2 linked regions of the Mus musculus genome follow. The protein of the gene in region 2 interacts with the protein of the main gene of each other region in a pairwise test. Links are inferred from orthologs where the notes say so. Each region holds a gene or a part of one and is shown on either strand. Other genes may lie near its edges. The genes, in order: C1qbp and Ybx1.

What was found.
Region 1: the proteins of Ybx1 (region 2) and C1qbp interact in binary tests that used the Homo sapiens proteins (3 or more experiments, as listed by UniProt). The link is inferred for Mus musculus from reciprocal best matches to the Homo sapiens genes YBX1 and C1QBP.

What each region holds. Positions count from the first base shown.
Region 1 is NC_000077.6:70,977,059-70,980,055, forward strand, and holds the end of C1qbp (complement component 1 Q subcomponent-binding protein, mitochondrial), read right to left. Parts: coding exon 2,952-2,997; intron 1,727-2,951; coding exon 1,631-1,726; intron 1,493-1,630; coding exon 1,370-1,492; intron 1,187-1,369; coding exon 1,037-1,186; 3' UTR 788-1,036; downstream 1-787. Other genes in the region: Rpain (RPA-interacting protein), read left to right, coding at 600-629.
Region 2 is NC_000070.6:119,292,122-119,296,037, forward strand, and holds the start of Ybx1 (Y-box-binding protein 1), read right to left. Parts: upstream 2,393-3,916; 5' UTR 2,243-2,392; coding exon 2,083-2,242; intron 1,685-2,082; coding exon 1,621-1,684; intron 1-1,620. UniProt on the Homo sapiens protein: DNA- and RNA-binding protein involved in various processes, such as translational repression, RNA stabilization, mRNA splicing, DNA repair and transcription regulation.

The sequences.
Region 1 (2,997 bases), on a different chromosome or scaffold from region 2:
TTCAGTACCCTGAAATGCACAACAGCAGTGTAGCCAAGTGAACGGCAGTGCGACCAATGCTGTCAGAAGCCGTGCTTTCAGACCAGCACTGGCCAGGCTAGAGAGACTATTGTTGAGTAAGGGGTGTCACCACAGATGAGAAACTGCAAGAGAAAAAAACCATTGAGCAGGCTCCAAGTTCAGCCCTGAGAAGTATGGAGGCATTTGAAAATTTCAGTGTCACTAGGTCTCAAAGGCACATCAAGGCAAACGGTAAGATTCAGATACCAAGGATGAGGCGAGTATAGGTGTGGATCACTTAAGAGGCTACTGTGAAGCAGACTTAGAATACTTGGTAAATCCAAAGAGGCTCGCTGTCAGGCTCCACAAGCCCCAAGCTGTCGGGTTTTGCTTTCTGAGGGTGCCTAGGCTTATAAGCTACATTGCTGATGGCTTCTGTTTAGTAGAACAGGTCCATGAACGCAGTGGCTTCTTTGAATTCCAGTGAATTAACTCATAGTGGTTCTACTTGTAGTACACATGTCACGACTGATGACAACTTTTAGCCATGTAAGATCTAACTGTTGATGTTACACTATCTTGTTTTCTGTTTAATCCAGACTTGTGACACCTGGGCTGTGATCCTCTAGCCATCCCGACCTCACACTTCACTACTGAGCTGAGAACAACTCATTTCCTGAGAGGGCCCTGTATGCACAAGCCTTTTGTATATAACGGATTTTATATTAAAACTTCAGACATCTCTGCTCTTGGTGTTCTGATGTGGGCGAAAGAACCTCAACTTTCCTGGAGATTTATTGGAGTCAGATTTATTGTCCATCATCATGTTATACAAAAATCTACAAATAATAAATTTGTACAGAGAAAAAAAGCCCAAAGGAATAGCGAATGGAGGTGTAACAGCAGTAATTTAAACTTGCTTCCCCCCGATATATTAGGATGACAGCCATTTTTGAAGCATAATTCTGATGCCAAGGGAGCTTTTGTTCACTGGCCAAAGCTTGCCATTTAAATTAAGGCCCGCAGTCTCTGAGTTCTACTGGTTCTTGACAAAGCTTTTGAGGTCCTCAAGAAAGGTGATATATTCCTGGTGCTCCAGGGCTGTGCTGAGCTCCACCAACTCATCCGCAAAAGTGTTATCCACCCCTCGGTCCGCAAGGAAATCCATTAGGTGGTCATACAAGGCCTGGGGAGAAAATACATTTACTAGCTTGAAAAACAAAACCCAAAAGTGGTCTGGCAAGGTCTGTGGGCTGACCTTCCCGTGTGGTTCAGCACACCCACGCAGACACATTTATTTCCCCTCTTGTAATGCTTGAAAGAGGACACTTCTCTGCAAACGCCCAGCACCCCCTCAGCCAACACTCACCCAGTCCAGGGAATCTGTGTTGAGTGTATAGTTTGTATCCCTCCACTCAGAGTCACCAGTGGCCTGAAAGCTAACTTCCTTGATAGAGAAAATATCACTCTCGGCCTCATCTTCGTGTCCAATCTGAGAGATACAGCAGAGGTAAGGGAAGTGCAAAGAGGCTCTGTAGTTCTAACCCTGTTCCCACCCCCTCCATCTAATAGATTAACAGATCTTTCCTGTGTATGCTACATGAAGGTCAGAAGACTCCACCCTACCCACCTCATCCTCAGGATAGTGACAGTCCAGTACAAGGGTCTTCTTGCCATCAGTCTTGGTAACTTCAACCACAAAGTTGGGAGTTGATGTCAGTTCTGGCTGGAGAGACAGGAATTAAGTCAGCATACACCAGTGCTGGGAGGGTGCACACACCTGGACCAATAGGAAGCTCAGAATGTCTGACAGCCATAGCCATTAGGTTACTATTAGCCATTTTTTAGTCTTAGGCTGTGGATAAGGCACTCAAATCTTCCAACAGAGCACTAAACAGTTTATCAATCACATGGGTCCAGAATGATATCTGCCGTCAGGCACAGCTAGCTATTTATTCTTCAGGGCTGTTTCTGCTCCCATACACTGCAGAGCACACAAGGCTGCAGCACAGACCTGGACCTCCTTCCCCTCTGACTGTTTTGGTGCACGATGGAGGCCTGGAACATATGGGCTCTAGCTAAGTGGCCATCTTAACCAGAAATAGCAGCAACTTCCTTTTACTGTGACCCAAGGGGCAGGCCTAAGGAGTTGGGTACAGGCTAGGACACAGAAGCACAGCAGGGGACTCAGCTCTTCATACACAAGACTGATATCTGCTTAGTTAGATAGCCTGGGGATCCTGTGGCCCTCAGTGGGGTATCTAGATCCAGCCATGAGGGCAGCAACTTAAGGAAAACATTTCAACTGGTCAAATGTTAAAAATATGTAAGGCCGGCCAGTGGTGGCGCACGCCTTTAATCCCAGCACTCGGGAGGCAGAGGCAGGCGGATTTCTGAGTTCGAGGCCAGCCTGGTCTACAAAGTGAGTTCCAGGACAGCCAGGGCTACACAGAGAAACCCTGTCTCAAAAACCAAAATAAAATAAATAAGGTTGAGCTGGAGTGACGGTTCACCCAGTAAAGGAGTTTGCTGCTGAAGCCTGAAGGCCTCCGTTCAACCCCGGGCCCCACATGGTAAGAAGGATGCAACTGCTTCCTACGAGCCCACACATTAGCGTCAAACATACAAATAAACATAATTTAAAGTCTCTAAGCCCCACCACCCCAGCCTTCCTATCTTGGTCACACGACGAGTGTTGACCATCCACTTGTCATCTTTCACACTGAAAACACTCCCAATGAGAGTTATCTGTAGACTAAGTCCTCCCATACCCCACACAGGCAGGGGTGGGCGGTCATAGCTCCTTTGTATTAAGAGGACACAGGCCAATAATGAAGCCTAAGCTCTACAGGGGGCCACACACTCTGAGAACATGGTCCATGCACAATCTACCTAAAAAGTTCCTCCTTCTCGGACAGAAAGACTGGCTGGCTGGAGTGTTACTAGCTTACCTCCTGTTCTTCAGCCTTCTGCCCCTGTGAGGGCTCCTCCTCACCA
Region 2 (3,916 bases):
GCCAATTTACATTTAACTTGTCCGGAAGGATGATCAACAAAGTTGATGGTAAGTGCTGTAACCTACATAATGTACAATGTAAAACTGAGGTATACACATCTTAGATAGACACTACTTCAAAAAAATGTGACAAGCCCAGACAAATATTAAAATGTATTAAACACATACAAAAACCACAATTTGCCTAACTGGAAGGGCTGCTAAGGAGGGCTAGCTAGTTATAATGGACTGAGGGTTAAAATTGTCCTCTGGAAGGTGAGAGCAGACTATTCTCCGCATCACCTGGGACCATCAGGATGAACATTTTAACCCAACCAGGAATAAGGACCACTTTAAAAGCCACCAGGACGTCAACCCCACAAGCACCAAAGCCTTACATTTTTTTTTCTTTGCTCACTAGTAACCCGGGGGGGGGGGGGGGGGGGAAGGAACCCAGGACACATGGTCAGAAAGGCAAACTGCCCGTGACAGGAGAAATCCTAGAGTCTGGAAAAACAAAATGTTTCCCTCTAATTGCAACTGTAGAGAACAGTCCATTAAGTGATTGTAATCGCTTTTGCTTGAGTGTTTCCACGACTGTGTGGGGTTCATCAGTGAATGTTTTTCATCACTCCGTTATTTTAAAAGCCTATAGCTGCCCATTCACGAGCACTGTGCCACTCTGTAGCGCTCTCTTCACCATCTACTTATTTAACGCCTTCTAAGCGAGCATGTAAGAGAAAATGCTGAAATGGCGCCAAGTATCACAGCTGTACGGCCAGGATTGCTGCTGGCACTCGCGGGGCTCTACACCCATGCAACTGCACTAGCCTTGGCAGCCATCTTGAAAAAGATGCCGGGCTCACAAGGGAGCCCAGAGTGCAGGCAGCGCCTGCACTTACCACCGCCGTCTACAAACCCTTCTCTGGATCTATGAAGGTATAGTTTACAACTCTAAGCCAAATACAACGAAGGCTAAGTTCCCAAGGACTTATGGCCACTCCAGCAAGCTATAACAAAAATTGATTTGATCAGCATGATTCCCTGACAAGGAAGTAAGAGAAATAAAAAATGAGGAAGAACCATTTCCTTTCAGATACGTTACTCGTCGTTTGGACAAATAAGAAGAGCCCTCTTTGGCTACAGAAGGTCTATAGGAAAAATGTGCTCGAGGTACTAAATGGACTGAATATTCGAGTAGTCTAAACAAAGGCAACATAACCTTACAGTACAGATAACATCTCAGGCAACTGACATGTCAAATCCCGTTCCCCGAGAGGTTAACAAGGTGAAAGATCACCTGTATGTTAATTAGCGGGTCACATTCTTACATAGCAATTTCAAAGCAGAAAGGGATGTCAAGGTTAAAAGCGTGCTTAGCCTGGAGTTGCCTCAGTTTGATGCAAGGTAACTGTTAAGGCATGGCTCATGCGACGCGCCTGCCTTGACCTGCTTTGTGCCAAAGCTTTTTGAGGCTAGCTCAAGATCGGTACTTAACAGCAACACAAAGCGAGTCTACAGACCCGCTAATCCCGTCACCCAAGGAAGAAACACAGGGTCCCAATCCCCCACCCTGTCATGCCCGCGGTGGCTCTGGCCCATGCAGGAGGCGGACGCGAGCTTTCCACCCCGGCATCTCACCTGTTGATGAAACCGTATCCGTTCCTTACATTGAACCATTTGACTGTTCCCAAAACCTTCGTTGCTGGAAAACAAAGCACAACAACGTCCAATCACCGGCTGGCCCTGGAAGTCGGTCCAGGATCTAGCCGCAGGCCCGGGCCGCCGCCCTCGCCGCACACGTGGGTGCGCCGGGTAGCGCGGGTCCGAGGTGGGTGTGCGCCCGGGAGGCGAGCACGTGAGGGCCGGGGAAGCAGCCCGCGCTCCTCCGGCTGCGTAGGCGGCGGGGCGGGGACCCCAGCACGAGGCCCCGGGGCGGGTGGGCGCGGGGGAGGGGCGGCGGCGGCCGGAGCAGCGGCGGGATCCCGGTGTGCGCGCGCCGCGGGCCTCGGGGGGGAGGGGCGGCCGCGTAGTCCGTGGCTCGGGCCGCGTCGCCTAACGGTCCGGCCCGCGGCCCCATCCCCGGTCCCTTCTGGCGCTCACCGATGACCTTCTTGTCCCCGCCGGCGGGCGCCGCCGATGTGAGGCCACCCGGGCCGCCACTACCCGCGCCGCTGCCCGTGGAGCCGGGCTTGGTGTCGGCGGCGCTGAGGGCGGCGGCGGGGGCGGCGGGCGGCTGCTGGGTCTCGGCCTCGCTGCTCATGGTTGCGGTGATGGTGACTGGGGCCGGCGGCGACGGCTGCGGCTCCTCCCGGGTGTGATGGTGACTAGGCCGGCGGCGGCGGTGGGGCTCTCAGGGCTCTCTGGGGTCCGCTCTCCGCTCCCGCTACCGATCGAACTAGCGAGAATGGCGGGACGGGCGGGATAAGCCCCGCGATAGACCCGCCCTCGTCCTCCCCCATTGGTCCGCATCGTTGTCCATCTCACCACCTGACCGGGTCTCTAGCGCCTATTGGCTCACGCTCCGCGGCTCCTGCGCTCTCATTGGTATCTTTAGCGACTAATTCGCCCGACCCACAGCTTCTCAGGCCTCCGCCGCCATAGAGACCGGAACTAGAATGAGAGCCTCGGCCGTGAGCACCATAGAGTACCGGGAGGACGCGCAGAGGGAACGTTCCCAGATGGGGCTGCGCTCGTCGCGCACGTGGGCCGCGATCGCCGGGCCTACTCCGGCCTCCTAGAAGGGGCTCCTTCCCACGGCTGGGTGAACGCCGGGGCCTCCTTAATGGGTCAGGCTTTTGGTGATCCAGTCACCTTGGAGGGACCACGCAGGCGCTGGAGCTGCCACGACTCAGCGTGTTCAGGGCGGGGGTGATCGTTTCCCCCGGCGTCCGAGGAAATGTATTTCATACTGGCCACAAATCAGATTTAATTTCGCCTCACATTTATTGGATGTTAGGGTTTTTGACTTTATAAACTAAGCACTGTAGACAAGGATTGCTATCCTTGTTTTTATACACTGTAAAACACACGCTGCCTTCTTTCTGAAGCCCTCCGCCTACCTTCATTCATTCTTTATTACGCATCTACTATTGACTGGGGATTGAAGTAGTTTGCCAGTTAGTTTCTGCTTTCTGATGGTGGAATTTTAAACGCCCACCACTTCTTGGTTGGGTGAGCACAGCGTTTGGGGAGTGGGAGCAGGAAGAGTTGGGTGGTGACATTTCAGGCAAAGGTAGGTTTGTGCAAAGGCCTAGAAAAGATAGGGTCTCACGGAGACTGCAAATAAAGGAAACCAATCGAAGTAGGAATCAGAGGTGGGCAGAGGTGTTTTTAACCTGAGATTCTTCCCCTGATCACCGGTGAGCAGTGTAGCTTTCGCGGTGTAAGTAAGGAGTAGCATCGTTAAAGAAAGAAAAGGCTGCTGCTTGGAGAAGGGGCTGCAGAGAGAGAAGGGATGGGAGTGGGGGAAACAAGAGGACCTGAGATGGCTCTGTGTGTAAAGGCACTTGGCCAAACCTGAGTTCTTGCCTTCAGCTCCACATAATGGAAAGAGAAAGATAGCCTCTTCCTGTAAGCTGTAGCTTGACCTCCCCACGAGCACTGTGGCATACTCCTAGCTCCCAGTAAATAAAAGCATGAACTAGAAATACAAAAAGAACGCTAAATCCGACGGGCTGTGGTGGCGCTCGCCTTTAATTCCAGCACTTGGCAGGCAGAGGCAGGCGGATTTCTGAGTTCGAGGCCAGGCTAGTCTGCAAAGTGAGTTCAGGGACAGCCAGGAGAAACCCTGTCTCATTCCCCCCCCCACCACCACCACCACCACCAAGACCAGGGCTGGAGAGATGGCTCTGTGGAGATGGCTCTGTGGCTCTGTGGTTAGATCACTTGCAGTCCTGATGTTAAGACTGGAGTTTAGATACCCAGAATAAATGCT